Saccharomyces cerevisiae S288C: one gene and its partners. Changing the gene in region 3 together with the main gene of any one other region gives a genetic interaction. Each region holds a gene or a part of one and is shown on either strand. Other genes may lie near its edges. The genes, in order: TEL1, RTT101, RTT107 and RAD54.

Evidence for each region.
Region 1: mutations in RTT107 (region 3) and TEL1 together harm fitness more than expected from each alone (negative genetic interaction), as found in Saccharomyces cerevisiae (7 studies listed by BioGRID, with this or other methods).
Region 2: mutations in RTT107 (region 3) and RTT101 impair growth when combined (synthetic growth defect), as found in Saccharomyces cerevisiae (4 studies listed by BioGRID, with this or other methods).
Region 4: mutations in RTT107 (region 3) and RAD54 together harm fitness more than expected from each alone (negative genetic interaction), as found in Saccharomyces cerevisiae (4 studies listed by BioGRID, with this or other methods).

Annotation. Positions count from the first base shown.
Region 1 is NC_001134.8:53,211-61,007, forward strand, and holds the start of TEL1 (DNA-binding protein kinase TEL1), read right to left. Parts: upstream 6,173-7,797; coding exon 1-6,172. Other genes in the region: 60S ribosomal protein uL14 RPL23A, read right to left, coding at 6,612-6,983, 7,488-7,529. UniProt on the Saccharomyces cerevisiae protein: Serine/threonine protein kinase which activates checkpoint signaling upon genotoxic stresses such as ionizing radiation (IR), ultraviolet light (UV), or DNA replication stalling, thereby acting as a DNA damage sensor.
Region 2 is NC_001142.9:347,080-355,227, forward strand, and holds RTT101 (cullin RTT101), read right to left. Parts: upstream 5,030-8,148; coding exon 2,501-5,029; downstream 1-2,500. Other genes in the region: phosphatidic acid-binding protein CHM7, read left to right, coding at 1-246; UBX6 (Ubx6p), read right to left, coding at 368-1,558; YJL047C-A (uncharacterized protein), read right to left, coding at 1,965-2,099; AIM22 (putative lipoate--protein ligase), read left to right, coding at 5,307-6,536. UniProt on the Saccharomyces cerevisiae protein: Core component of multiple cullin-RING-based E3 ubiquitin-protein ligase complexes (CRLs), which mediate the ubiquitination of target proteins.
Region 3 is NC_001140.6:399,810-408,483, reverse strand, and holds RTT107 (Rtt107p), read right to left. Parts: upstream 5,519-8,674; coding exon 2,306-5,518; downstream 1-2,305. Other genes in the region: LAM1 (Lam1p), read right to left, coding at 1-1,381; SPO16 (Spo16p), read left to right, coding at 5,802-6,398; SPO12 (Spo12p), read right to left, coding at 6,529-7,050; MTC6 (Mtc6p), read left to right, coding at 7,636-8,674. UniProt on the Saccharomyces cerevisiae protein: Required for resumption of chromosome replication after DNA damage, specifically in S phase. Is recruited to chromatin in the presence of RTT109 and RTT101 in response to stalled replication forks and acts as a scaffold during DNA repair.
Region 4 is NC_001139.9:191,640-199,684, reverse strand, and holds RAD54 (DNA-dependent ATPase RAD54), read left to right. Parts: upstream 1-3,281; coding exon 3,282-5,978; downstream 5,979-8,045. Other genes in the region: YIP5 (Yip5p), read left to right, coding at 1-475; SUT1 (Sut1p), read right to left, coding at 648-1,547; YRB30 (Yrb30p), read left to right, coding at 6,385-7,707; CUP2 (Cup2p), read right to left, coding at 7,879-8,045. UniProt on the Saccharomyces cerevisiae protein: Plays an essential role in homologous recombination (HR) which is a major pathway for repairing DNA double-strand breaks (DSBs), single-stranded DNA (ssDNA) gaps, and stalled or collapsed replication forks.

The DNA of each region.
Region 1 (7,797 bases), on a different chromosome or scaffold from region 3:
AGAGGGCATTAGCAGATGTGAAACTTGCCAATTTCTCAATTTGAGATACTACAGAGGGATCATCGTATAATTTTGCAATATTCTTCACTGTTTTGCTCATTAGAGTGGCATTTCGTAACGCATCTTGAGGCGCACCATTGGCAATTGCCAGCTGAACGTAATTAGCAAGCTGAATAATGGATCCAAGGCGTAAATATTTCGAGCATTTTACGTTTTCATCTAATGAATTCCTCGAGAGCACATTCATTAAAGTATGTCTACTCTTTAACGTTGTTTTGTGATCATAGAAGTCTATTGTATTAAGTCTCTCCTTATCGGCCTTCATAATAGACATCAATGTTTGGGGGAAGGAAGTAACGTCCTGAGGGATTGCTGCTATTTTTATAAATTCAATAATCGCGTTCAGAGTATCCATCCATTCAGTTTGGCTAATAAAATGTTGTCGAGAATCAAAAATAGTTAATAAGGATTTTTCTAAACTTTTTTCAGCAAAACCAACGTCCTGTGGTAAATTTTTTATGGCATAGTATAAACCTTTGGCTTTGGAATCAACAACTTTTGGAGTCAATAGCTTCCAGTCTCCCAATTCTAAATTCCATTTGTAGACATCACTGGATCCAGAAAGTCTACTTTCCAATAAGCTTGTCAACCCGTAGAAACCGCTATCTTCTGTGGCCTTGATTAATGATTCCTTTTCCTCTTCTAGTGAAGTAGTGTAATTGGCATCAAAATCGGCGTTGTTGAAAAGAAAACGTTTCCACGTATCTGAGTCAATTCTATTGATAGAGTTCAAAACACCCTCTATTGAGTGTGGAACAGGTAAGCCTGCTAGAAAATCGCCGTCATTTATGCATTCGTAAATCTTCTGAAGTGTATTTATATTCATTTCTCTTATGTTTGGCATGTTCATTTCCTCAAATAACAAATAGCCAAACTTGAACTCTTTTATTTTAAGAGAAATTTGACATATTTCTTGTAAATCTAAGCTAGAATATATGCGCAGACAGTTTCGTTCCTTGCATCTAGAACCCATCCTAATCATTTTAATTACATTGAAAAGCATCTTTAGCTTTATCTCAGAATCTTTAACATGCAGCAACATTGCTATTTGAGTGAATATTCGATTGCTCCAATTCAAACAGCTTTTCGGATCGTAAGTCGTTGAAAGAAAAAAGAGGTCAGTAAGTACTAATTCACAAAAAGCTGTTGATCCTTTGCATAAAGGATACAAGCAAACAATAGGAGGTATATTAAATGATATTTGGTGAATCAAACTACGGGCGAATTTGCTTAGCCAGCAGTTGTAGGGTTCGTTCACTGACAAATAAGTATCGCATATGAATGATTCCATCCCAAAATTGTTTGCCAACGGGTATATAGCATTCAGTACATCCTTGTCCAATGGAGCAACTTTATCTTTGTTCTCGTTCATTATGTTATCCCTAAAACAAAATTCACTTTCGCTATTTCCTATTGAGTAGCCCACTAGGTACGTTAGAATGCACTCAGAAATAAAAAACACTTCAGTAGAATCATATAACTCAGCTTCTTTATTGAAGGTCGAAATACGTTGGTATATCATATGTGGTTGTTCGGGATGGCGAAATACCATTTCAAAGTTTTTCAAATGAACTTCATTATTAAAGTTTGTAGATCTCTCTCTTTGAACTTCTTGCTGTAAAATTCTTCTTGAAAGAGCAGCGAACCATAGTTTGAAGTTTTTACTCAAATATTCCTTTGGAACATGGTGTTTCAAAATGTTAATTGCAGCAGCTTTAGAAAGCGAACAACCGATTTTTGAAGCTACCGGTCTCCTGGCATAAGAAAAGAGTAAAGAAACCAATACAACATCGTCTACGCCACAATCACTAGCATCCAAAAGTTCCGTATTTTCATAAATATCATCTTGGACTATATTTCCGAATATTGCATCAAGGCAGTATTTCCAAGTTTTTATTTTGATGAGATCCCGATGCTCTAAAAGCTTTATAGCCTGCTGGAAGGATGGACTGAGCTGTTTGTTTTCCCTCAAATAAATGAATATTTTGCAAAATAAATTGGGCAGAGATGGCTCTATTTCAAACGTATTTTTGTCAGCCAGATTTAACAATGAGCTGAAAATTGTTATTACTTCATCGTGAATTTGTGTATCTATTAAGAATTTTGAAAGCCGAATTATGATGAAGTTTAAAGTTGATGATTTTACAAGTACATTCTCATACAACACAAAAAGATATTTTAACTCCCTTGCACATCGCAGTTTTCCTATGTAAGTCGATGTCTTTTCAAGGTCTGTAATAACCGATAAAAACAAAAGCTTGAATTCGTGTGTGTTGTTCTTTTCATGAGCAAACTGCGTCTGAACTAAGGTTGCTCCTAATGCCAAGGGTATATGAAGTGGGTATTGATACCTCATTGAAACACTGGAATTTTCAAATAAATATGGCGAAAGGTATGAAGTTGGGAATAATTTTTCAACAGTAGATCTAAGTTCAGTAAGTGAGCCCAAATCAGTAAATCTTATGATCCACTTTAACATCAGTAGACGGTATTTTTTATGGTATTTTACTGTTGTTTTACCTGATATTTGGGGCAATATATCAAATATTAGTTCATTCACACCGCCACTGATAAAGGCAAGTGGAATACACAAGTAATAGCTGTTATCCACCAGATAAGCATCACCGTTTCCAGTAATCGCGTGTAACATGTCTAAGATCCATTTTTGGTTGAAACCTTGAGAAAAGTAGATTGCAGAAATTTCTACAAAGTATCTTCCTAAAAATTCATGAATATCGGCAAATCCAAAAAGAGATATATCCCATTCTTTCTCCAATTTAGAAGTAGGGACTTTTGTTCTGTTAAACCAGTACATAATCAAATCAAACTTACAATATTCGAAGAGCTCTGTAAGGTTTTGGTAGCGAAAAGCGACCGTAATTTTGTTCAGAGCTTGTTGGATAAACGCACGAGTATGATTGAAGCCAGAGTATGTCATCATATCCTCCAAAGAAAAAACTAAGCTTGGGTAAGACACCAAAGACAACATGGACATTGCAAGAGAGTAGAAAGCGGACTTTTCAATACTTTGCTGAGGCGGACCAAATAAGCTCTTAATCTCATAAAATATGATACTTTGATTCTTATAGCTCACTTGGGCCATATAACTCGAAATACTGTTCATTATGTTAATAATATTGGAGGAGTCTAGCTTTTGCAGGCATTTAATAAAAGTTGCAAAGACTCTCTGCTTCCCACCTCTGATTGATCCGTGGGAAAGATCATGATTTTGAAGTAGGCTAAGCAGCAGCATAGAAAGGTTGACCGTAGGGGCCACACCAGTGAAAGAATTGTCCTCAAATCTAGATATGATCCAGTCCAGGATATCATTGCAGTCCGAATTCAAAGGCTGCTCGGGGTAAGATAACCATTGAGGTCTTATTGCTTCGATATAAGATGTAAGTAAAAGCATAGCTTGATTGGAAGAACTATAGTGGTTGCAAAGCAATTTTTCACCCAAGACTTCAGTGAATTCTTCCAGGATTTTGTTGTAAGAAGATTTCTCCCCGATTGCTTGTTTTAACCACTGGCAAACAGTGCCAAGATAAGATATAAATACATCTGTGCTAACGCAATCAGAAAATTCCAATATGGCTACCAAACGCTCTGAAATGGATTTATTTCTTGAAGACCATAGGTAAGCTCGCACTGCTTTATCTATAGTGGAGTGCAGAGGCTTCTGAAATCTACCTCCAATTGTGTACGGACTATTATTCTGGGTAGTGTCTTCTGAAGAGGCTTCGAAGTAATTGATGGCAGAAGTTCCTGTTTGAGATTTGTTTTTTTGCATCCTGATAAAATCATTAACGATTTCCTTCATATTAATTTTGTCAAGCACTAAATGGTCTACATTTATGGTCCGTATCGATAAAACCTCCTCAAAAAATGATTGGTAGGAGTTTTGGCTATCAAAACTAAGTTGTGGAATAGTTATTAAGGTTGTTCTCTTATATGCTGCAATAAACTCAGAAAAAGTGGAATCTCCACAAAGATTATCAACTATTTGTATTAATTTTGCTACCCAAGTAAATTTTTGTAGTGGAGATGAAAATGCATCACTTTCAATATTTTCCAGTAATCTGTAAAGAATTTCATTATAACGTGTGAGGTCTAAGGAAACTTTTGGTAAATTAAAAAAGGGAGTGTTAAAACATTCTGACTTTTCTTCTGGTTTTACGCCTAAAAGAAATTCCCTCTGCTCTTGAAAATGTTGCCAAATCTTGTGGCTTTCATCCCAACATAGTGAGACAGGATTAGCTCCTTCGCCTTTTTTATCGTTGAAAGGGTTCTCTGGGTCATATTTGTTACCTAACCAGGATATAAAATTGCAGAACTGATCCTGTTTAGCATCAGTTCCGCGCAACTGGTTCCACTTTGATTTTAGCCACTCAAAAATTCTATCAGCGGACGATATACCGTTCATAGATTGGAAGTCTTTACCAACGTACTGAAGGTATCCCCATAGCATGAACGATTCATTAGTAACTAATATGGGACCCAAAATATCGGATAATTCGTAAAGATCATATATCTGATTGATAGTTTTCTCATCGGATAAAAGCTGCTTTGAAAACTTTATGGAGTTGGCTAATAAAAGACAACTTAACTGGCAAGATTCATTTGATTTTACTAATGGTAAGCAAACTTTAAATAGGCGTGCCATGTCGCCATTGCTTAATTCGCATTCTTTTTGGGATAATAAAGGAATAAAAGAAAAACAAACCCAATTAAAGCATTGGATTTTTTCGAATTTTGAAAACAGAAGTTCTTTCAGCTGTTCTGCAAAACTTTTAGTGAAGTCTTGTAAAGTTCCATAAAATGAGCACAATTGTAATCCTAGCACTTCAAACTCATGTGAGCTGTTCTCCTCTAAAAGATGAATAAGAAATGTGTCCATATCGTCAGAAATCCGTAGGATAGAAGGTATATCCGAATCACATTTTCTTCTTTTAAATAATAATGAGTAATTTTCATTTTTTCTGTTCAATGCAAAATATGTTAACAATGATTTGGTAATTCCGAGTATTTTTAACCACACCGATCTGCCTCCCCTATCTCTAAGTCTAAAATCAGGTAATGCAAACCATGAATTTTTATCCCTTGAACCTCGAATATATGAGAATTCCACATGGTTTACGGTAAATAATTGAGGCTTATAATTACTTAAGCGCAGTAGAATGTACTCACGGTATAGAGATACAAGAGATTCGGACCGAAGCTCTTCAACATAATTCTCTTGACCAATCATATAAGGAAGTTTATGGTTCATTAGTTCACTTGACATAACATCAAACAGTGATAATTGGTCTTGTACTAGCTCATTGGAAGTACAGCCAATTGTCAGGTTGTAACTCCATGCTTCTTTTATAAGCATTAGCGTATCAATAACACTAAAACAATGGCACTTCAAAATTAATTGATTTATTAATGACATTATTAATCTCGTATTTCCATTTTCTTTTTTGCTGAGCCTCAAAAAATCTATTACGGTCCAAGTAATTGTCCTTGTCACTTGAAATATACCAACTGTGTCTAACGCCAATAAATTCAGGAGGATCGATATGAAATTGGTCAATGTTTTGTCTACCATAGATAATTTCATTTGGCTTTGAAAGTACTCGCAAATTTTATCGACTAAGGATATCCATTGGTGTATCATGAATTTCAGTTTGAAAGGGTCACTTTTAATTAGGGCATCCAAAGCAAACGATAAATGTACTGAAACGGCATCCAATAAACTTTTGGAACCATCTTTGACCATTAATTCAGGTACTACTGCTAAAAGTAACTTCAACGTTTTCACTTTAAATCTCTCACATGATTTTTCTACAAATAATCTTAAAACGTACGATATCGTGGAGAGTCTGTTCTCACTAAGTGATAGCTTGTTTGTGGTTGACACTGTCAAGTTTCGAAGAAGGTCACAGTATTTTGTGTGTTCAGATGCAAGTAACTCTACCAAAGCTTCTGCCGTTGTAGATAGGGCCTTGGTTGGTATCCTTTCCGGATCTTCTTTTAAAATTGTTGTTAGCTCATCTAAAGCATTGTTTCTCTCTTTGATTTTTGTTGATGATAGAAAGTTTAAAGTTTCTACAATCCCATGATCCTCCATCGTCTATGTTACACTGATTTCCCTTTTTCTTTGAAGGCTTTTTTTTCGAATTTCCTGCTTTTTTTGCGAGGCTTTGAGAAGTCAATTAGTCTTGATTATTCTATTAACTTGGAACTAATTTACCTTGAAAAATGTCAAAATATGCATATTGTACGGCTGGTGCCATACTTGTTTCTCACTAGCAAAACATTCTATCATCTGTTATTCTTACCTTCTTAACGTGTCTGTTTGCTTTTTTGACGTACCCCAAAAAATATATAGACCCTCCTATCACGCTCATAATATCATGTGATTCTCTCGATGAACGATAATAGTAATATTTTCATCTAAAAATGCAATGAATTATTGAGTTTCTTTAATCTGTTTAAGAGATTGTTATTTATAAAGAAAATATATATAATTGAAGAATCTAAGAGTATGAGTCAAAATAATTTCCTTTTTACACAACAACACCGGAGTTAGATGCAACTCTTGGCCATAAATCGGCACATTCCTTACCGACTGGACCAGTGATGGCGGAACCCTTCATTTCACCCTTAGGATTAGCGATGACACCAGCATTGTCTTCGAAGTACAAAAAGACACCGTCTCTTCTTCTCCAAGACTTAGCTTGACGGACAACAATAGCTGGCATAACCTTCTTTCTCAATTCTGGCTTACCCTTCTTAACGGTGGCCATAACCATATCACCTAGAGAGGCGGCTGGCAATCTGTTCAATCTGGAACCAGAGCCTTTGACGGCGATAATGTACAAGTTTCTGGCACCACTGTTGTCAGCACAGTTCATGATGGCACCGACTGGTAGACCTAACTAGTTAAAAAAGATCTCAATATCGGGGAGTGAGAATAATTTTGTTAGTAAAAGCATAGGGAGAAAGTTAGCAGATGTGGTTAATCTTGAAAAATAGAGTTAAGCGTGATTTTTGTAGAAATAACATTTCGATGGTTATCCATTAGTATGGGCAAAAGAGGGAGTTAGGATATGCTTGCCGTGTATGATTTTGAAACCAGAAATTTTTGAGTCCATGAATATTGACAGGTATCACTTCATCTGCAAATACAGCCCGCTTAACCATTTAAAAACTGAATTTATGTGTGTAATTGCATCTTTGGCGGGGCGGTACCAGTGATGGCACATCTACCATTCTTATGGAAAATAACACCGATAGGTATATGATCAGGCTTCACACTTAGTGTTTAGCGTCTTTTAAACCTCTGTTTAATTCTGTTGTACCCAGCAAAATGAAATCTTGGAACTTTACTTTATGATCAATTTAACCAAATTGCATTGTGGAAAATAAAAATTTTAACATACTGAGATTCTAAACTTAGTACCTTGAGCACCGTTACCGGACATTATTAGTTATATATAGGTGTGTTGGTTTTGTATTGCTTGTAAGACCTAAGAGTCAAAATAAAGAAAGTAAGAGATTTTTAGCTACTAACCTTAGCAATACGATGGTATTACTATTAGCGGGAACAGGTACATTATGGCTACAGTTCGTTTCCTGCCATATTAATTTTTCAGCCCGAGCGTGTTTGGGTTTGATATTTTCTTTTTTACCTCTTTTTCAACATTTCCATGCAAGTCTGATGACGGTTGTACGGCTCGTTCTGTGAGCCGG
Region 2 (8,148 bases), on a different chromosome or scaffold from region 3:
GGTCAAGACGAAGAAGCAGAAGAAGAAATTGAAAGAGAATTAGAACAATTAGAACTTGATGAAAAGAATAATAATAAGGAAGAAAATAAGAACCAGGATTTGCACGAGCCAAAAGAAAGCAGTAGCGAGGATCTATTAAAGAGATTGAATAATCTGAAGATAAATACAAATGAAGGACCTGTGCAAGATAATGAAAACCACGATAATGAGATAAGAAAAATCATGATGGAAGAACAACCACGTTGACGAACTGAGTGACTAATAAATAAATATATATGTATAAATAAAAAATAAATATGAATATTTTAATAGACGGAAGAAAGAAAATATGTGTGAATAACCAAATAGGAAATAAACAAAAGCACATTTAATTGTTGCCGTTATTATTAGAGTAACCTAATGTACGAACTTTGGTATTAGATGCAGAATTATTGGAAGACAAGTTTAGTTCAGACACGTTTTGTCGCAATTGAGAAGTACCATTAGAAGGATACATCCTTGGGGTAGTATATGCTGAAGGAGTCATTGAATCACCACCACCTCCTCCTCCCCCGTCCGACACCATGTCTAAGCTAGATAATTTTTGTAAAGAGTAGTTGGCGCTGTTTGACACATTTGTGCCCAACCTCTGGTAACCAAGACGGGAGGAGGAAGCATCTACTTCCGGTTCTTTCGCCCAAAAAGATGTCAAACCTGAGTAAACCTTGTGTAGAAGAGAAGATTGTTCCATGTAGTCGAATGTTTTGTTATTGGCTTCCAGCGGTTCTAAGATGAGAGTCGATCTGGGCAACAGATCCAACTCTTGCAAACTTTTGAGTTCGTCATTTCGCGTAAGAGTCACTCTTGGTATATTTCTGTGGAAAAGGTAAGGTGTTCCATCATCGTAGCAATTATAGTCTAACCACATCCTTACTTTGTGTAATTTTGTTTGAGGAGGGAAAGTATTAGAGATTGTGTAACCATTGGGCAGTTTCAATTGTAGAGTACAGTAGTTCTGGGCGAGAAACCCCTTTTGACTCTTGTAACTAACATTATCAGTAACTGTCAACTGCTTCCACTTCTGTGGCTTTCTTTGCGGGTCATTAGTATTTTGAAAAACATACTTCCTCTCCAACTTGTCGTTCTGAATCATTCTTTTGACTCTTTGATATTCTTCATTGCTCTTGGAAAATAACTTCCTCTTTGTTACTTGACCCTTAAAGACTGATTGTAACCCATTGATAAAGGTTTCCCAAGGATCCTGCTCACGAGAAAGGCTATTACCTTGGATAGAACATTCGAGTAGACCGTTCTGTAATATGTTAATGCTTGGCGCCGATGAGGAGGGGAAAATGCTCTTGAAAAGCAAGCACTCTTTAGTACCATTTACTAACCTTACCCACAGTATGTTTTCGCGCTCCTCGTCACTAAGATTTCCTGGTTTGAACCACTGATGAAGCCAAGAATTGTCCCCGGCTGCTGAACTAATGTAAACGACGATAACCTGCTCACTAGTATGAGAGTAATCATGAACAACTCGATCATGAAAGAGGCTGTCTATACCTGACATCTCGTACATTTCTGTTATTCAATACCTGTAATTCACTTCCTTTGAGGGTCAAAAATGTCCCCTGTAAGCAAGTGTATAAGTATATAATTATATATATGTGCATATATATGTCCCTATACAACTACTAACGAATCTTAAAAGTTGACTATTCATGTGGAAAAAGTCCCTCTTCTAGGGTTGACGCGCTAGAGGTAAATCCATTAAGGTTCCTCCTGGCTTCGTTAACTCCGAAAAGAATAGCATGTGCAAGATGAGTTACCGAAAGAAGCAATAAAGAAAGCACGAGTACATGTAGAACAGGGGCACAGATAATACCAGACAGATGAGCCCACTTTTAAGAGTTTCAAAACTTCCACGAATGCACAGGGAGAATAAAGTACGCGCTGGGTCCGTTACGATTCGTGCTGCAAGAGGTTTAAAATCGCTCCACAATGGTCTCGCCCCTCGGCCCTTCTCCAATTACAAGCATATTACTAATACAGTTTTCGTTTCTTTTGTAATGTTCAGATAGGAGCGAAAGACTAATTTCGATGGAAATTTTTATCTTCATTTCGATAGTATGTTCAATCAGTTGAACTATGCATCTTTGGTTATCATCATTAACAAATTGAAACGAAAAGCTATCCTGCCAAGAAGGCCGGATAGAGAGATTGAAAAAGATATATAAAGTGTCCTTGTCACACTCATACAACACCTGTTGTATGTCAGGCATACGGCAAATTGACTACAGTTTGCATTTGCACTAATGTCGTTTGCAGTGTAACTGTTGTATTGAACGTGGACAAGGACAAGAAAGATAGTTTTTATCTCTTGATGTTTTTTTATATGGAGGAGAAAGCGACGAAGTCGAAAAAAACGAAAGGAAATAAAATGCTGTCGGAAAAAAAGTTAGGGCTGGTACGGATTATAAACTATCTCAGTAGTTAGGTAATATATAAGATGGCACCAGTCTTAGTACTTGTAAGTTGCTGTTGATTCGTCCCTAGTTATGAATTTGTCTCGTAACAACTTGGCCAAGGCGTCTTTGAACTCACCAACACTAAAGCCTTTTATCTGCTGCTTTACCGTTTCAAATAAATGGTCGTAGTCTAGCCCATTCCTCTCGCTCTTAACGGATCTAGTTATGCATGCCTTTAGTAATTCTTGGGTCCATTGGGAATTACTTCCTTCGTGGTGTGCAGAACTGGTTCTTTCACCGCCTGTGTTGCTACTTTGGAGAGACGCGGTTCTCGGTAGAACCACACGTAGTTTCCCATTTTTCACTTTTTTCATATCAGGTTTGAAGCTCTCGTTGATACTGTATGTGTTGTCAATATCTCTTGTCAGAATTTTATAATTGCAGAAGGATTTTAAGACTAGCGCTAAGTCTTTGTACGCCAGTTTCGTTTGCTCTGATATAACTTGCAAGGTCAAATGATCGCTTTCGTTGAATAAAGTCAGCACACATGTTTGGAAAAGGGTCAATTCAAATATTAGGTTAGTTCCATCCTGTATGATATAAGGCGACTCCACTTCGCAGTGGTGCAAGTTCCACATCGGATATAGCTCTTTTTTGGAAGCATCTGAATCTTCCACTTTATTCTGCTCGTGATAATTACGGAGAAATTGGTTCCACGTATCATCCATCTCTTGAGGTAGGACAAAATTTTTCTTTACTTCGTTGGATTGCTGAAAAACTTTGGGAATTCTTTCTCTATCAAAGATAAGTGGGAAAAATGACTTGCTGTTGTTTTCATTGTATGTCTTCCCGAACTTCACAGCAGCCTCGATATTCTCATAAAACGACAAGAACGATGCATATTTGATTCTCAGATCTGCCATAACCTCTACCGGCTGAAAGAATTGCGATAAATAGGGTTGATATTGATCTCGGTATCGCATTTCATCCTCTTGTGAGACATTTGTTATGATTCTTTGTTTGAAAAGTTCCATGAGGCTGTCTTTGTAAACAGGTAATATATCCTTAATAAATGAGGAATTTTGATCACTTTGTAAGATCGTCTTTCTGAAAATTGATCTTTCGAAAAAATTAGGAAATGTGGGAAGGTTAACGAACTTCAGTCTCAATATAGGAAGATTTTCGTTGAGATACTTTATTTTCATATCTCTGGGTAGGTCTTTTTTAGTTGTTTTTATCTTTCTGACGATGATGAATAAATGTGACTCAAAATATTTGACATACTGTTCTATGGCTTTGCTGGTACTTCCAAGTAAATTACATAAATGGTACTCGATGGAATCGGAGTATATTTTGAGGTGATCTACATTAGCTAGCTGAACTACCTCATCAAATAGCCTTTCAGTATCATGATTGGATCCATATGCTGCCTTTAACTTTTCTGAAACGGCATCATCACAGAATTCCTTGAATTTTGACAGCATATTTTTTGCTTCAAAAGCATTTCTAAACATCAATAAGCTAAAGTGTGTCTCAGTTTTGAAATATCTCTCTTTTTCTTCATCATAAGTGTCCTTCCCAATTTCTATGTATTCGCTAATAGACTTCTTGTTCAACAGTAGATGGCTTATAAATAGGTCATTTGCATCGCTGACCCATTCAGGGGAAAATAAAGATGCTAATAATGCATTCCTCGTCAATAGTACCTTAAAATTCTTGAAAGTTTCCAGCCTCGGCCTTAAATTTGATTCCTCACAGTAATATTGTCTGAGAGTTTTCATATAAAAATCTTTGGGGCTCAAGCCCTCTATACTAAAATTGCAGTTAGACATTATACGGAGCATAGGAACTTCCTTCTCTAACATTGTATTCGTTATTGGAAACATATGAATATAGTGATGAATAGTAGCGCTTACAAGGGTGGAAAATTCCCTTCCAAAATGTGACTTCATACATTCGAAAAGTTTGGAATCATAATACTGAAATATCGTTAAGGTCTCAAATCCTAGTTCTTTTCTTATCATGGGATAATTTACCGGCACATACGATATAATAGGACCAACGGCACCCATTACGTACTGAAATAGCTTGTAAAAAGAGGTCCAATTTTTGGGTATAATTTCATAAGAATAGTCGCATCTGGTCAAAAAGCTAAGGACGTGCGCGTCAATTATTAACTTTGCCAATTCATCACAAAATTCTTGAAAACTCAGCACAATTTGGTGTTGATGTAGCAGCTGAAACTTCTTTTGCTTTTCGTCATTCCCATTAAATTCTGAGTTGTAAGGAATGTATGATTTCCTTTGCGTTAATTCACGGCAATTGTTCAACATCTTAGGCATTAGCTTTCTAAATTTAGCGGCCTTTTCTTTATTACACTCCAATTCTTTCACGTCAGTTTCAGTTATAGTTTCAGCTAAAGTAAGGTGAAAAAACTCGTGCAGCTCAGCAATCATCGTTCGATACCTGGGATTTCGCTCATCGTTAAATTTATTGTATAGTCCTAAAGCGTTGCTTGCACTCGTCTCTCTGCTTATAGACTCGTGGAATCCTTCTCTCTTGGAAACGCTCTCATTTATCATTGTTCCTGTGAACCCGTACGAGAATTTATACCAGTAAAAAAGATTGGTGGGTTTAATATCTTGAGGATTCCTTCAAAGTAGTCTTTTAGTGCAAAGATATCGATGATCTTCATTCGCATTGTTCATATTCATCATTACGCAAAGGATAGCTATGCGTTCCGCTTCGTCATACTTAATCAGGAATATTGAACATCCAAAAATCTCCGAGCTCACGTATGTAGAATTTTTGATGAATACAAAAGAAGAAAACACTAGACTTTTCTTTGATGTTTACATTATGTCTATGATGCTAAGTAATTGGGCACTCTCCCCTCGATATGTGGGACAGCGAAACCTCATACATTGCACCACTTTATTTCACACACTTACACGATGGGCAAAAGACGCAGACGATAAATATCATGATATAAACTCAATGTATGAAAACATGTTTACACCTTCAAATGATAACGTTTCAATTTTGCAGGATGAAGGTAAATCTGATTATGATACGACGAAGGCCAGCTCTATGGAAGAAGATATCAGTGCTTTTAATAAAGACTTGTACAATTTCTATAATATTGGATATGCCAAACAGATCATGTCTGCTTCACAATTGGAAAATATAGTAAAGGCAAAGGGCAGATTTGTTATACAAAGTTTATCCACCAGTCCTTATTATAATTTGGCCCTTGAAAACTATGTTTTCAAGAATACACCAAGAGCCAAAAGAGGTCCCGATAATTGCAGACTGTTATTTTACATCAATGATAGGTGCGCCGTTATAGGCAAAAACCAAAATCTGTGGCAGGAAGTAGATCTTGCTAAGCTGAAGAGTAAGAATTTCGAACTACTTAGAAGATTTTCTGGAGGTGGCACTGTACTGCATGATTTGGGCAATGTTAATTATTCATATTTAACATCAAGGGAGAAATTCGAAACAAAGTTTTTCAACAAAATGATAATTAAGTGGTTAAATTCATTGAATCCCGAACTAAGACTAGATTTGAATGAGAGAGGAGATATTATTCAGGACGGGTTTAAAATTAGTGGCAGTGCTTATAAAATTGCCGGTGGCAAAGCATACCATCATGCAACGATGTTGCTTAATGCGGATTTAGAACAGTTTAGCGGCTTATTAGAACCCTCACTACCGAACAATATGGAATGGGAGTCAAGTGGAGTTCATAGTGTAAAATCAAAAATCAAAAATGTTGGTATAATTACTCCTAATCAGTTCATTGCAGTGGTATCCGAGCGTTTTCAGAAAACATTCAAAGTTGACGGCGAAATACCTATATATTACTGTGACGAGTTTAAATCTATAAACGATGAGATTAAAGATGCTATGAACACCTTACAGAGCGAACAATGGAAATATTTCTCGGGGCCTAAATTTTCAGTGAAGATTAAAGATAAAGGCTTAACAATTAAAGTCGAAAAGGGCATGATTTATGATTGTGATAGAAATGATTTAATCGGCTTGGAATTCAAAGGATTTTTGGAGAATATTGACAGTTACACATAACGTTGATGAATATTTCAATTCACTTGTAAATAACGTAGGTAAATATCAAAATTAAAGTCTTTCACCGGAAACTGATTCAGCATATTTCAGCAGACGCGTCCTAGATTCACAGCAAACTTCAATATAAGCGATACATTAGGAGTGTTCGTACTTTAGATCTATAAGAACTATATTTTGTTACGATTCAGCCGTCTCTAAATGTGAACTAAATATTTATACTGTTATTTGAGAAACCGACAGATAGTACTTAATTTTATCGATCATCTAAGAATAGCATCGGTATTGTGGTGACATTTATTGAATTTCTTCCGCTCCAGAATAAAGTTCCTTTTCACTTCAAAAAACTGCCACCAGTAAAGTTGCACCAGTGGTTTTTGAGCATTTTTTGTCAATGTCGCTTAACCGTTCTTGAACTGTATCCTCTTGACGTCGATAAAATCATTTGTAAAAACCAGGCCAAATCATCATTGAATAATTTACACTGTGTCTTCAATGTCGCCATTTGGACCAATAATTATCAAACTGTTCACAATTCACTCAAAGTCCTTTCAGCAACATTCTTATGAAACAATACTTTCTTTGAATTTGTATGATGAAACAAAATTTTTTGGTTATTAATCATTTATCACTCTCGGTAGCCAAGTTGGTTTAAGGCGCAAGACTGTAATTTACCACTACGAAATCTTGAGATCGGGCGTTCGACTCGCCCCCGGGAGATTTTTTTAATGTGCTCTAAATAGAATGTGGATGAAATTTCTCTTGGCCGCCGTACCCTTCTTCATAATTAATAATTTCTTTCCATTTTGCAGGATTATATCTGATCAATAAGTGATTGTAAAGATTTTGTTTGTGAGAAATATGTGAATTTTTAATTTTGGTTATAACTTAATAATTGTTGGAATTCCATTTTTGATAAAGATGAAAATTGGTGAATTTTGAGATAATTGTTGGGATTCCATTGTTGATAAAGGCTATAATATTAGGTATACAGAATATACTAGAAGTTCTCCTCGAGGATCTAGGAATCCTCATAATGGAACCTATATTTCTATATACTAATATTCCGTTTTATTCCTTATTCCGTTTTATATGTTTCATTATCCTATTACATTATCAATCCTTGCACTTCAGCTTCCTCTAACTTCGATGACAGCTTCTCATAACTTATGCCATCATCTTAGCACCATATATGATAATATATTGGTAGTATGACTACTAGTTGATAGACTGAAGAGAATGTGGATTTTGATGTAATTGTTGGGATTCCATTTTTAATAAGGCAATAATATTAGGTATGTAGATATACTAGAAGTTCTCCTCGAGGATTTAGGAATCCATAAAAGGGAATCTGCAATTCTATACAATTCTATAAATATTATTATCATCATTTTATATGTTAATATTCATTGATCCTATTACATTATCAATCCTTGCGTTTCAGCTTCCACTAATTTAGATGACTATTTCTCATCATTTGCGTCATCTTCTAACACCGTATATGATAATATACTAGCAACGTAAATACTAGTTAGTAGATGATAGTTGATTTTTATTCCAACATAGACGATAGTTGATTTTTATTCCAACAGTGTTGACATATAAATACTAGTCA
Region 3 (8,674 bases):
TTAATAATTTATCTGTTGACGTTGAGCTACTTGAAGCAAACTCGAAAAATTGAGGTTCAATTTTTTTTCTCGCCAATTGATAACGAGGATCGTTTTCCTCCTTTATCGACAATGCGATTCTTTTGTGAGAAGTTAAGGTGTTTATCCACGATTTTAACTCGTCAATACTTTCAGCTTGCAGGATGATATCTATGTATGTATTTTCTTCTTCTGTTTTGCAATTTGGATTTTGAATCCTCAATTTGAAACAAAAATTTCTAGGTTCTTTGGGCAGATATTCTACAGTTATCCATAATATACCGAATTTATCGGTTTCTTCGACATAAGTTTTGCTAGGCGACAGTGAAAAAACTCCAAAAACATTGTTCTGTAGAAAGCACCATCTTCTTACCCACACAACTCTTTTCGGATCATGACCAACTGTAGTTTTCATGTACAACCAACCCGATAGCCCTTTTTCCTCAGAATTATTTCCGTTACTTATCGATTTTGGAAGGTTAAACTTCAAATTTTGTATGCTTTTCAAATCATAGTCTTGTATCAGGCGAGATGGCTTCATTCTTGCCAAGCTGAGCTTCAGAATGGCATACTTAGCTTCAGATAGCTTGGATGACAATGCTTGTAAAGTCTGAAGGTTACTTTCTATCCAATCGGTCCAATCCTTTAATGTTTCCGTAAGTTCGGGAGTAATGTCGATAACGTCCTTGGTGTCCTTGGTAGTAATAACGTTATTTTTGCGCACAATGTCTATTGTCTCTATCAGGAATTTATCCAAATTAACTTTCATTAACGAAATAGCCTCAGTCAAATCCAAGGAAGCTTCTATATATTTGTGTTTAATATCGACTAATTTGAATGTTTCATTTTGCAGATTTTGTGGAATTAAAGTATTGCCATCATTAGTGGCCGCTAAAAAGTCAGTTAAAAACGAATCATACTTCCTTTGGTAGTATTCAAAAGTTTTTCTCTTGTTGAAGTAAGGGTTAATAGCATCAGAGCTCAAAGCAGACAATGCCGCAGTGTATTGTGAGTTTTCATCACCTAAAATTATTTTCATAACCGTATTTGAAAGGTCACTGACATCTCTAGTAAAGTCTCTTACAAGCAAGGGAGTATATGGCTGGTTACTGACAAATCCATTGGAGAGTAATATAGGAGAAGGGAGCAGCTGTGAAAATAGTGTTTCCTTTATTCTTTGGAAGTCTTGGAACGAAGGCTTGTACGTATTTTCTACATAATCCACAGTACTGTGCATCCAACTACTCAGAGATTCCATTCTGGTATGGAAATAATTGACAGAAGCTCTAAAAGAGGGGGAATCGGTGGATGCTTCGTTAAGTGCAACGGTTATTAGCCGTAGCTCCGCTTTGTGTTCATGCATTATAAAATTGTTCTACAATGACCAATACCAAAGCTATAGAAGTGAAAAACTTGAAATTGGCAGTACTAAATCGAAGAACAGACCATCAGCTTCTGTCACCCTAGTTTTCACTACAATAAATGAAAGCTTCGCGAATAATACCTACAGCCCTTTCTTATTCACCAAATTTTCAGAGTGTTCTCTTCAAAGTTCGGGTAATAGGTGATTTATCTTCACTCATATTGAGACGATACAATACGCACGAGGATAATAAGCCCAAACTCAAAATTATGCATCATACCGTAATGTTTCCCATTTAACCCAATTTTATCTCTCATCCGCTCCACATATATGTATCTTGGTACTGTTCGCATGTAAACATTATTTAAGATTTCTGACGTAAATCTATGGATGTAACCTGTTTAATTATTAGATCAAAAAGTTCTTACTAACGTTAGTAGTTGGCTTGAGCCATTAAATTTTGCGTCATTAACATTGCGGATACTCTCGTAATAATATACCTAAAATACACTAGGTTTGGAACATTGTTCTTGACGCATTGAGTAGAAGGGCTCTCCGCTGTGTGAATATCTCAGAGTGGAAAATTGTACAATAGAGTTGCTTTACGCATTCTGGCCATGAATCTGTTTTTATCCATGAAATTGTAGAAAAATTAAAAGGTTTGCGGATAAAGTGTGGAATAAATGATTCTACTCACGGTACTATTTGACCCTTTGTATCCTATATTAGAAATGCTTTATTAAACAATCTAATTCAAAGACAGTACCAAATAATTGTTTCTAACTAGACATTTAAAATGGTCTGTTAATCATATGTGGGTTGTTTGTTGAACATAAGATTTTCTACAACGCATCTTTATAATTATTATATATTTATTTGTTATCAGTGTCGTATGTCAGATGACGTAATATATAGTGTCCATTTTTAGTTATTTTTCTTTTGATACAAAACATTTTTCTTTGATGTAAAATCAACATTGAGATGAAAAATTGATTCAACACACCAATTCCATTCAACAATCAAAATTGTTTCGTTTTTATCACGATCATTAATCAGTTTGGTAAATTTTTTAACCTGTGAAGCTTTGGTGACGATAAGTACGTATTTAAAAATGCCTCCGTTTTCCTGCTTAGAAACGTCATTTGGGATTATGTCTTCAAATGTGCATTTCTTACTACGTAAAACGTTGATTTTTTCGATACCATGTGCCTTTAGAACAGAGCCTATTGTATCTACACCACCCGGTATATCATTGACTAAGTTAATGCATCTAATATTCGCTCTTTCGAACACCTTAGTAGGTAGTTTGGTTTTTGATATTATACTCTCATTAATTCCATTTATCTCATAATCAAACAAGTTTATATTTATTTGAGAAAGTTTATCTTTTTTAGAATGAATTTGTTTCAGTAAATCAATAATAAATTCAGGTTTCAATGCGAATTTTAACGGTTCAAAACTTAAGCTTTTTAAAAATTTCTCGGTTCTCAAAATCTTTGGAGCAAAAATACAATTCAATTTATCCGTTTCTTTAATATTGTCAAAAATTTTTATACCTAGTTGGTTCAATATTTCGATGTCAACCTCATTAAATCCATCATGGAAACAACCGGTGCAAACCGCTTTTAGGTCATAATTTGGTAGTTCATTAAATCTAGCTAATATCTTTTCCGCTTTAGTAGCCAGTTCTTTGTTATTATTTGACCTTTCAACATCTTGGGACAATGAAATCTCCTCGCTATCAATTCTCTTCCTTTTAAAGTTTTTCTGAAATTCATTTAATGATTCAATATCTGTATGCAATCTCTTCGCAGCTTGTGTCTTTGCTAACCTTGAATTGCCACTTGATGGCATAAAAACTTGCGTTTGCGCGGTGGTTGGAGTATCAACGCCACTCGTAATATTTTGAGACGTCTTGGGTGTGGTATATTTGGAATTAACTGCCGGTTTTTCGTCATTAATGTGATCATCATTATCAGATAATCCTTCAAACAAATGCGAGAATTTATCTGTATCTTTTTTAGAAGTGACGTCTTCCGTAGAAATCAGTTTTCCTGTACTTTCCTCCCCTTGCTTTTCATTCGTCATTTGATCTACTTCAATGTGACATTCATTGGTTTCTTTCTCCTTTTCATTTTTCTTCGAAGTTTTGATCTCTCGTTTAGTTCGTTGTCCTAGCTGAACTTGCAGCTCCGTTTCTTCCTCTTCTTTTTTATAATCTATGTCATTCTTCTTGCGTGACTGTTCCCTTATTTCTTGTTTCTTAGGTGCATCATACTCCGTAATAGGTTTCGTAAACTCCTTTTCTTCTCTTTTTTCATGTCCTTCACAGAAAACCTCTGTTTCCATACTAATATCTGAGTTTGAGTCTTTCTTTTGTAAATTAGATTTTTTACTGTCAACTACTGGAAAACTTGCCCTTGAAGGTCTGGAAACAAAACTCCGTTCTAAATCTCCAGAATGGGTTACAGCCACCTCTCCTGATATTTTTTGTAATTTGTCAATCTTTTCATCAATTGAGTTCTCAAAACTACTAATGGGCGTACCATCTTTCTTTGATAATACATTGGTGTTATCGTTAATTTGATCCATTTGATCATTTGTGGGAGGCGGCTTCTCTGATATGGATTGCGTGTCGTAAGTCACCATCGATAGGTTTTTTGGAGTTGGGAGAGATGAATGATCCATTCCTATTTGGCCGATATTCCATCCCATGTTATCATCCAATTTAAAATTTTGAAATCTACTGTCTTTGGGGTTTAACTTGGAATTATTCATATAACATTGCTCTAACCACATATGATTTGTCACAATAATGGCATTTTGCGGGTCCAGTGACCATTTTTTTGCGACTTTGAATTTTTTGCCAATTGTACTCTTCGTGATCAAGTGTGTGTTTTTTCTTGTTAGTTCAGGTGTGCTAAGTCCTCCTAATATTTCTACTAACCTCTGAATATAAAACCTTTGGGAGCCGAAATAATTAGTGTACGCGACTGTTAATTCCTTAGAAGTAAATAATTTCGCATGAAATGGTTGGTGAATAAGTTTACATTGCGATACAGGTGTAAATTTTTGCAGCGCAAACATATAAAACAACCAACTTACGTTCCCAACATGAATTTCCGGTTTAATGCTTTTGGTTTTTTCTAGTATCGGTGAGTTAGCAGAGTGGCCGATATAACAGTCAATATCAGGAAAAGCTTGGTAAACAGACTTCAGATCGTCAGAAAAACTCAACGGAGTTACTTTGCCGTCCAAATCCTCGATAAATCCTTTCAAAAACCAATACAAAGGTGTGAAAAAGTTTAAATCTGGTGAGATAGCAAAGTGGTGATTTTTGAATAAAGTTTTGTTTGGATGAAGAGTAAGCTGCGATGATGATGTCTGCTTATCGCCAATAACCTCTTCCCATTTTGCGAATAACTGTTCCTCACTGGTGTCCTGCATATCAAGCTCACACAAAGTAGCAAGCTCGCCCTTCAAGGGCTTCGCCATTTTGAAATGATATAATATCCATATTGGATAGACAAATTTCCACTCTCTCAAAGGCTTTTCGGTGTGCTTGTTGGTCGATGAAGAGGAAAAAGAGCCAAATGTCAATTTACTGACCGTTGCTATGATCGGGTCCTGGGGACTTTGAACAATCACATGCGTCGTTCTATTTGAGATGTAATTGACTAAAGTGCCTCCTAATAAATGAAGCAAATCAGAGTATAATATGTATTCACACTTATTAAACGAGCTTTTGGAAATATATACTTGACAGTCTCGGAGCAAATGAAATGGGTTAGGTGAATACATATTTGTCCTCAAATGTCTCTTCGTCTTGACCGAATCCTGGACCCAAGTGTGTGATACCACCGGGATCAAAAGATCGAAATAAACTATCTTATAAAAAGGAAAGTTGATTGTATTACTAATGACAAAATGTACTGTTTGCGGGCCGAATTTGTTCATGAACCAATCTTTATCCGTCTTGACATCTTTCAAATTTTCGTTATAAAGCTCGTATATTTGACAGTTATTGCATGAATTATCCATCAAAAGCTTTCTAGTAGAGTGAGCGATGGGAAGCTCAGCCTCTGCTGCCACTAAAATTAAAAAATTTAGCTGCTCAAACAGAAGTGATGTGCTCATGGATCGTATATTTACCAGTATGCTACCTCCTTGAAATCTTGCCCAATAACCTAATGACTTCCATTGAATATACAATATAGAACATTGTGATGTATTTATTTATTGGCAAAAAATGTGACGCGAAAAACAACATTAGATGAGTGAAAAAGAAAAGTCACATCTGATATAGCTTACCCTGTTAACGCGTGAAAAGTGGGCGGCTAAAACCGAGAAAATACGAAATAGTGTAAAGGTTCAAGAGAATAAACTTCTGGAACAACATTTCTGGAATGGTTCAATAGAAATGTCTGAATTCTTTTGGGATGTACAAAAAATACAAGAGATTTCTAATGTCGAAGAACATTCTGTGGTTAAGTGTGTTACTGTGAATACGAGCAGGTTAATTTCGCAGCTTAACGAGGAGCTACAAGACGAAGAAAGTGGCGTCAATTTTATTGTTACACAGCTGCAATTACTGATAAATAATGTCTATGAGAAAATACAGAAAAGCCCTGGAGTTCCCGCACATCGTTCTCTGATGATAAATTTGAATTTCACGCGCTTGAAATTCTCAATAGCTTATTGGGATATCTTATTGGAGAGGTCACTAGATCTAATAAATGGACCATCGAAAACGGGTGCCCGCTACTTTATTACAGAGGTTACACCAGTAGACAGAAGTCGATATGTTGAAAACAATCAATATTTTCTAGCTTTTAAAGCTAACCAGCGTTTGACACGGAACAGCGTGGATATGGACGAGTTTATTGATTTTGAAATTCTAATCAAGCAAATAATTTTCGACCTCTTCAAAAAAAACGGAATTCCAGATCAAGATTTTGAAGCCATTTTATCAAGGTTTCATAATTTGGAAAGCTTGGTGGTTGCTTTTAATGAATAATAAAAAAAATGTAAGAAAAAAAAAATCAGGTATTGTTGAATTATTATTTACTTATTCTTTATGTACTCGTTTGCTTATTGGTTTAGTGTAGCATTTGGCTATTTTTGGATGACTAGAAAGGCAGATTTTTTTAGTAGAAATACTCCTCATCTTCATCGATTTCTACATCCTCTGAATCGGCAGCAAGGTTGCCTTTAAAGTTCAGTTTCATAGGATTGACTTTCTTTTTCTTTCCGAACATCTTAACTTTGTGCTCATTCAATTTCAATGAGCATGGTGATACCAGCCTGTCAGTCGGTGATGCAAATCTTTGTTGTAGTTGGAGTTTCCTCTTCGGATCCTGTTTTAAAAGATCCCTTTTGAACATTGTCTTTTTTACCAAATTGCTAGTGGTGTGTGACGACTTCAAGTTTGAAGTGCTTTTTTTCCTAAAAATTCGAAAGGCCGCAATCTCCTCCTCTAAATTAGGTATATTCTCTTTATTGGCGTCCTCTCCTGTCTTCGCCGATTCATTGTAATTATTGATGTTATTGTGGTGATGGTAGTTGTCGTTGTTGCTGCTGCTGCTTCTGGTGATTGTGTTTTCTCTGGTAATATCAGTCTTGAGGATGGAAGCCGTGCGTGCTGATTGGTCACTTGCCTTGTTGGACATAAATACGTTTTCTATTGTTCTTACTGTATATGTTATTTTGTTTTCCTACTAGAAGTATTCCAAGATAGTAACTAATCTGAATGAACGTTTGGCTGACCTCCTAAAAACTAGTTTGAAATGGCGCTTTAGACTTCAAAAGGAGGAATTCTCCTCTTGTGGCAGTATTGTTTCATGCTTTTGCTTACAATTTTCATTAGGAGAAAAAAAGGAAAGATGCCCTGTTTACATATTTCCAAATTAGGAAAAGATATTAACCATGGCGAACTGCATTTCAGACCTGCTTTTTTTTTTCTGTAACCCTTTTAAATTAGGGTTTGCAATTTTGGCATTTTTCTTTTTTCCACAATGGGAAGAGGCAATACAATGGGAATCATTGAAATTTCCATAAATGTTGATGAGTCTTTGGCTGAGCAAGTCACATTGAAGTGTTCGCTGCACGGTGAGATACACCCTGTTTAACTTTATTTGTCACCTTTTTGCTGGTATTTTTTAGTCGCTTTTAACCTCGCTTTTTCAAAGACTATCTCCATTCTATTCTTCCCTTTTTCTTTTGTTCATTTGCATTCGCATCGTTATAGACACGGTATGTGGATACTCATATACCTATTTATCATATGGTCCTCACTGCGAACGTGGGTTACTGCTGTTGACTCTACTACGACAGTTGGCGATGATCTGAATGAGACCGTTTCAGCATCTGTCTGGCCGACGATGTCCCCTCAAATGACGGTGGCCTTTAGGTCCCAAAGAGATGTCATGGGAAACTTAACTATAGACCAGCTGCCGTATGTTGGTTTGAATCTACGACGGGTTCTGTTGAACAATGAGACTAGCATGGTAAATGAAGGTAATAATACAAGATTACTGACTTTGTTCAAATCTATGCTATCCTCCGAAGCAAATGCTTTTGTCCTCGACTTGGAACAATATAATAATGATTTGAGAGTGGTAGATACGACATTGTTATTTAGCGACGTTCTAACTGCTTTACAGTCATTCATCTTCAGCACACAAAACAACCTCTATGCGAATATCATTGTACTGTTGCTGAATATATCAGCTCCTGAACTGGATTCCACAGAATACCGCCACCAAAACCAAACTTTGAACACTACTTATATACTGGACAAAAATTTAGGAAATAGTTTCATTTACAAGCCTACGGATTTACAAAGTGATAGAGCAAAGAATAATACCTGGAACATCTACGGAAAATCGTCCATTGACGGTTGGCCCACTCTGGGCTCTGTGCTATATGAACAAAAGAAGAGACTGGTTATAGGTGAGCTGACCGATTTTTTTAATGAAACTACTGCTCCATATATTTTTCCTCATGACGTCTTTCATTATGAGCAGGGGAACTCTACATTAGATTGCCCCTCTACTGTAGAGGGTCTGACTGATTTATCATCTATCCATTGGAGATTCTTAGATTCGCTGTTCAATTCCGTGGACATCAAAGAGTATATTTCGTGTGGTTTATCACCAATAATAAGCAATTCAGCGTACGTCAATAATGTGACGCAGTTAGCAGATATAATTCATGAAGGCAGCGTTTGGTCATGGGATAGTGACCAACCTTCAGTTACTCAGTCAACTTCTAAATCTGGCAGCTCATCCGGGA
Region 4 (8,045 bases), on a different chromosome or scaffold from region 3:
GTTAAATTTTATTATCAGTGACGTAATTGAGGGCGTCAAGACTGGTGAGGACATCGACAGGGCCAGTCAGTTTAAGAAGCTACTGCATTCTATTTGGCTATTTTACGGGTACACGTTCGGCGTACCATTTATTACCATGCAAGTATTGAATAGAGATGAGCACTCGGAGCGCAATAGAAGCTTCAAAAGTGTTCCTGAATTGATTTCCGTTTACGGGTACGCTAACTTGATCTGGATACCCGTTTGTGTTATATTGAATATATTGGATATGTCCAAGCGCCTGAGGACTGTTCAAGCAATTCAATGGGCAATTGTGGCTCTTGGGTGGGCACAGTCGTCTTATTTCTTGAATTCTCAAATATCGAGTAATAATAATACGGAGACACAATCGAACGGGAAATTTTCGCTGTCCATCATCGTTGTCGTTGCGCTGCATACTTTATTCTGTCTATTGTTCAGGTTTATAATATTTTGAAAATATGCGCACGTCTATACACACAATACTTTTTATGACTAGTATCATTGTATACTCTTATTATGTAGGGTTATACATGAGTGTTTATACGTTTTCTGTGTGTACATATATATCCATATATGTTAATGCTAAATGCAAGTTTTGTGATGCTATTCATTAGAGATGCCTTTGTCTAAAAATCAATGCTTTTATAGTCATCATAGGTTATGTCGTAAATGGTTTTATCCTTAAATTTTAAGGAGATTTTGGATGAAATGTTTATGTCAGCTCTGGTAAAGCCTTTTGAAAAAGTACATTTATCATTTTTTGGGAAATTAGTGGAAGAAGAAGAATGCTTTTTCTTAATGCATGGTAAACAAGGTGTGAGCAAAACCAACTTATCAATATGCTTAATCAACTTGCGTGAGCCTGTACCCTCAATGACATCATCCGGTATGGCAATATTCCGCAACAGCGTGCCTCGATATAGCCGAATATCGTCAGGAGTCAAGACGTACCGCAACTTGTTCGAGATCATTGGCATTATAGTATCGTCTTGAAGCAAAATCTCAATTTTCGCATTACATTTTATTTTTTTCAAACGACATTTGTCACAACTTGGGCCACTTCTTTGTCTCTTGGAAATTGAACTAGTAGATGTGGCAGAGGAGGTTGTCGAGTTGCTCGTTGAGCGCGAAATTATAGACATTTGAGTGCATGACGCATTAGCGTCTTCATTGACCATGGAAGCAAGAGCATGAGGATGATACTCAAACAATGGTGGAGTGTAATTTTGTGGAGGGGGAACAATCGCACTTACGGGGAGCGTTGGCGGCGGCGTCACCGTGGCAATACCAATAGCGCACTCATTACTGTCAGCGGCAGCAGGCTTTAATCTCTTATAGCCTCCTAAAAGCTCGTCAGTCGGAAAAGCCCGCTTCCTCGTCCAAGTGGTCGACAAGAGTTCTGGATCGGTGATGCCCACATTTTGGGTGCCTTTACGCCGTATATCTTTTTCTAGCAGGGAAACATTGGGGAGCAATAGCGGTGGTAGCGATCGATCTCTATTTCTTACTGTAATGCTTGTGGACATCTTCTTTTGACATACGATGACCTCAATGATTTAGATTATGTGTTGCACTTTTATAGACCTACCAAAAATCCAGTGCGTACACTAATACTTTCATAAAGATACCTGAAACAATAACCAGAAAGATCGGCAAAAAAATTTTTTTTCTTTGCCGAGATCACAAACCTACTATGACGAAAAAGCTTGAAGTTTAGATGAGTAAGGAAAATACAAGTGACGCTTTTATATGGTGCAAGGAACAAAAACTAAAAACAACAAGGCAAATGTGGATCTGTCATGTATGGCAACGACAGCAGGATGGCTCACAAAAAAAGACAAAAAAAACTAAGGCAAAAGAACAAAGCTCCTCTCCTGCTCAAGAAACGTATTGTTGAAAAACCACCGTCGTAAGAAAGTTTTTCTGTGACCTATAATGGTTTAAAATCGGCCCATTTTTTTTCCCTCTTTTGTGGTCCAGTCTTTCTCATACTCGAGGGAAATTCGACACAAACAGCGGAGAAGTGTGGCTAAACCGGCAAGTGCCTGCAAGATCCACAGAACTAACCGCACGAACTGGCGGTCAGAAAAGAGCCTGTTCCGGAAAGAGAGAAACAGAGAAACGATCATGATGGGAAAGCGGGGATTCGGCGAAGAACGAGACTGGAAAGGGAAAAAGAGAAATACTGGTGGAAGTATTCGGACCTTTGGCGAAGTCCGAACCCTTGAAACCCAAAGATGATCGATGATTCATTTTTCAATGCGCTACGGTTCCTGCCGCTCGTGGGAACCCCACGCAAAACATATTATTCGCTTCTCTCTGCTGACAACTCCGGTTTACGTTATACCGTATTAGGATCACTATAAGGGTTCCTTCGGGAGGAGGGGGGAGGGGAAGAATGTACATCGTCATAAGGCCTTTATGGTGTGAAGTGGGTTTTGCGTGGAAAATTCGTTTTCAATGATATAGAGCCCACGCATATACGTACATACTAGTGGCCAAAAGCGTGGGGTGGGCGGACAAAGCTACACTGGTAAAATACAGGATTCTATGAACAATAACAACAACCAGCTCACGTTGCTGAACAGCCGAGGTCAGCCGATGCAACCGAGGTTTCCAAAGTAGCATTTCTGTGCTAGCTATGTCTGTAGGTTTACATTTAATGGTGCGTGGTTCCAGCTTCATGTGCTTGCATGTGATGTCCTGCAGATGGTAAGAAGATTCTGAAAGCCGCGCTAGGAGAAAAATATTCTGCTCGAAGATCTGTCCTCTTAAGTAGAAAGCGTGAAATTGTTGCGTTCTTGCATTACTACTCAACGCGTACGCAAATGCGTCTACTGCACCTGCATGATAAAGCTTATGTATCAAAAATTTAACATCTTGAAAATACACAAGTGGTGCAAAGATGTGTCACGTTCTGGACCTGAGTGGTGCCATGTATGCTATTTAACATGCAAAGGGGAAGACCCTTCCGCCTTACTGCAATAATAAAAAGTATTTTACGCGTTACCCAATATAGCAAAGTTTCGCGCAAAAAAAAAAATAAAAAACAATTACAAACAAAAAGAAAAAAAAGGAAATAATAGAAGATCTAACTGAAGCGAAGGCCAAAACTCTTCTCACTTGACGTAATAGCCGATACAAAATCTAGAGCAGCAACTTTTCTCTTTCTTCACTAAAGCTGCTACGAAAGTATAGAAAAATCAAACGCTCAGAACTTAGCTCTATTTCAAGGTACCATATATATTTCCTTATAACTGATGGCAAGACGCAGATTACCAGACAGACCACCAAATGGAATAGGAGCCGGTGAACGGCCGAGACTGGTACCTAGGCCTATTAACGTACAAGACTCGGTGAACCGACTAACGAAACCGTTCAGGGTCCCGTACAAGAACACGCACATCCCGCCCGCTGCTGGTAGAATCGCCACCGGGTCTGATAATATCGTAGGAGGAAGGAGCTTGAGGAAAAGATCAGCGACTGTATGTTATTCCGGCTTGGATATAAATGCGGACGAAGCAGAGTACAACAGCCAAGACATAAGTTTTTCTCAGTTGACTAAACGACGGAAGGATGCTCTTAGTGCTCAAAGGTTGGCCAAGGATCCGACAAGACTGAGTCATATCCAGTACACTTTGAGAAGATCTTTCACTGTGCCAATCAAGGGATATGTACAAAGACACAGTCTGCCATTAACGTTAGGAATGAAAAAAAAAATTACTCCAGAACCTCGACCTCTACATGACCCTACAGACGAATTTGCCATAGTGCTTTATGACCCGTCCGTTGACGGTGAAATGATTGTCCATGACACATCTATGGATAACAAGGAAGAAGAATCAAAGAAAATGATCAAAAGCACACAGGAAAAGGATAATATTAACAAGGAAAAGAATAGCCAGGAAGAAAGACCCACACAAAGAATAGGACGCCATCCAGCTTTGATGACAAATGGTGTGAGAAACAAACCGTTACGTGAGCTACTCGGTGATTCGGAAAACTCTGCGGAAAACAAGAAGAAATTTGCTAGTGTCCCTGTGGTTATTGATCCAAAACTGGCCAAGATTTTAAGACCCCATCAAGTCGAAGGGGTGAGATTCTTATACCGTTGTGTCACAGGGCTTGTCATGAAAGATTACTTAGAAGCTGAGGCGTTCAACACTTCAAGCGAAGATCCCTTAAAGAGCGACGAGAAGGCACTTACTGAATCTCAAAAGACTGAACAAAACAATAGAGGGGCCTACGGCTGCATCATGGCCGATGAAATGGGGCTGGGTAAGACATTGCAGTGTATAGCACTTATGTGGACATTATTAAGACAGGGCCCGCAGGGTAAAAGACTTATCGACAAATGTATCATTGTTTGTCCATCTTCTTTAGTCAACAACTGGGCTAATGAATTGATAAAATGGTTGGGTCCCAATACTCTAACTCCGTTAGCGGTTGATGGGAAAAAATCTTCAATGGGTGGTGGTAATACAACAGTTTCGCAAGCTATTCATGCCTGGGCTCAGGCACAGGGAAGAAATATTGTTAAGCCCGTTTTAATCATATCGTATGAAACATTACGTCGAAATGTTGATCAATTGAAAAACTGCAATGTGGGTTTAATGCTGGCAGATGAAGGGCACCGTTTGAAAAACGGTGACTCTTTAACATTCACAGCTTTGGATAGCATCAGTTGTCCTAGAAGAGTTATATTATCTGGTACACCCATTCAAAACGATCTTTCCGAATATTTTGCTCTACTGAGTTTTTCGAATCCTGGCTTATTAGGTTCCAGAGCAGAATTTAGGAAAAATTTTGAGAATCCAATTTTGCGAGGGCGTGATGCTGATGCTACTGATAAAGAAATCACAAAGGGCGAGGCGCAATTACAGAAGCTATCTACCATTGTCTCCAAATTTATTATCCGTCGTACTAACGATATTTTGGCCAAATATTTGCCTTGCAAGTATGAGCACGTTATTTTCGTAAACTTGAAGCCGTTGCAGAACGAGCTCTACAATAAATTAATTAAGTCAAGAGAAGTGAAAAAAGTAGTAAAAGGTGTTGGTGGGTCTCAGCCCCTGAGGGCTATTGGTATTTTAAAGAAGCTATGTAATCACCCTAATCTCTTGAATTTTGAAGATGAATTTGACGATGAAGATGATTTGGAACTACCTGACGATTATAATATGCCGGGTTCAAAAGCCAGGGACGTACAAACAAAATATTCAGCTAAATTTTCCATTTTGGAAAGATTTCTCCATAAGATAAAGACCGAATCCGATGATAAGATTGTTTTGATCTCCAACTATACCCAAACCTTGGACCTCATTGAAAAAATGTGTAGATATAAGCACTACAGTGCTGTACGGTTGGATGGTACAATGTCAATTAACAAAAGACAAAAATTGGTGGATAGGTTCAACGATCCTGAAGGCCAAGAGTTCATCTTCCTCTTAAGTTCTAAAGCAGGTGGGTGTGGTATCAATTTGATTGGTGCAAATCGATTAATTTTGATGGATCCGGATTGGAATCCTGCTGCTGATCAACAAGCTTTGGCACGTGTTTGGAGAGACGGTCAAAAAAAGGATTGTTTCATTTACAGATTCATATCGACTGGTACCATAGAGGAAAAAATCTTTCAAAGACAATCTATGAAAATGAGTTTGAGTTCATGCGTGGTCGATGCGAAAGAAGACGTTGAAAGGTTGTTTAGTTCTGACAATTTAAGACAGTTGTTTCAAAAAAATGAGAATACGATATGTGAAACACACGAAACATACCATTGTAAACGTTGTAATGCTCAGGGTAAACAATTAAAGAGAGCCCCTGCAATGTTATATGGTGATGCGACAACTTGGAATCATTTGAACCATGACGCATTGGAAAAAACAAATGATCATCTACTAAAAAACGAGCATCATTACAATGATATCAGTTTTGCATTTCAATATATTTCACATTGATCTCTTACATACATGTACTTATAAAACAAAAACAAAAAGTAGAATTCGATCGTCGGGGGGTCATTACATATTTATTTTAAATGATGGGCATGGTTATATATATTTAGACGTAATAAACAATTGAAAATTGGGGCCAAATTGGTAAATATCTCTATGTATTTCAATCAAAAAAGTATAATCGTATAACTTAAGGGTAAAAAAAGTTGAGCGATGTCATATTATACTTGTGCTAGCTTTTAAATTTTTCATTATCTTCAGTTTTATCGTGGTAAAGTGCCAGCCGAAACTGCCAAAAAAGATTATGGCAAGAAAATCTCACGCTGTCAGGGAAATAAAAATCTGATACAGTTTCACACTCTCAGAAGGATTAACTTTAACTATTACCTAACACCAATATCTGAAGAGAATGGATGAAATTCTTGCCAAAGCAGGTTCACAAGCCGTTACATTTGCTATAAAATCCGGAATATCGATAGCATCCACATATGCGCTAAAGACAATAACGAACTTTGTCGTCCAGATTCCTAAGGATGATGCTAGAAGAATAGATCAACTGAAATTTAAACTGGAAAGCCGCATGGCTATTGTATCCAGTGCAATTGACCTAATAAAGCTGGTAGCGGCGAGGGGAAACACGAATTTGCAAATCACTCTGAGGTTAACCAAGGATTTAAAAGAAGAGATTGATAGGTTTGATGAGAAGATCAACGAAATGACGCAGAAAGTTGAGGGTTCCAGGAGCGCAAAAACACAGAATGAAGCTATTAAAGCGGTAGAAAACTATATAAAGGACTTGCTATTGAGGATCGAAGAAATCACTCCATTCATTAATCTTTCTTTAACCACTTCTGGTGCCAACTTGAACAGCGCACTCCCATATCAACTTTCTCCTGGTTTATTATTAAAAGCCTCCGATTTCGTTAGCGAGAACAATAGAAAGTATGAAAAGGCAATGAAGAGTAATGAGAAAGGAACAGGTGACAAGGAGATTCTAAAAGTTCAAGTGGGGCCTACATTTGAGGTTACACTATTCTCTATTTTCTATAACCTAACTTCAGAAAACAATGGGCAATCAGGAATTGTTTGGAAAGAGGATATGAAACGTGCAAAAGCAAGGATATATAGATTGAACTCTACAGGCAGAAAGTATGATTATTTTATGAAAATAGAACAAGACTTCAATGACGGTAGATATCATGAGGATGATGACAAAGAAGACACACCACAGGAACTTGCCATAGATCTGAACCATATTAAGAAGCTGTTTTTCAGTGTTTCCGGTAAGCTTCTCCGATTAGAAGAACAGGATTCTCCAGTGTTGGTATTGAAGATTGACCGGAGCGATGACAAAGAAAATGAGAGCAGTGAAGGAGACAAGGGATTACTCGATGACATTACTTGGTATGCGGTAAGCGGATATGAAGCGATAGAGGAAGATGAAGAGGAAGATGAAGAGGAGGACGAAGAGGAAGGAAAAGACGGAGAAGAACGAAAGGAAGAAGAAGAAGAAGAAAATAAATTGGAGGACAAGGATTCGTCGATCACACTACTGGAGTACATCATTCGGCTGACGTCCTTACAAAGTAACGATCAGAAAAGTATATTGGAAGTGAGTGATGAAAGGTTATCTATATATTTGAACGATGAAAATACGAACTCCAGAAAGGATAGAATAAGCAATTCGACAATTGAAGAGACAGAAAAAAAGTTAAAAAACCTAAAACTTTAGGATGGTTACGTATCCTGTGCAGCCTTGGACAAATTTTATAATTGTATATATCTATGTATATGTATACGAATGGAAAAATTTATCCGAATCTCGGCCCGACTGCCAGCTTGCCGGGAGAACAAACAACCGCCAATATATGTATATGTATATTTATATAGATGTCCAGATGCATTATTGTGAATGTGAGTTATGCGAAGATACTTGTTTGTATAGCTCGTTCAACTCATTGATGGAGAATGGAATGTCAATATCGTTTAGTGCTGTGTTCGTAGTTGTATATGCGCTTCCTGTTTCATTGATACTAACAGGTTCCATAGATATACTAGGGCTTTGCTCAA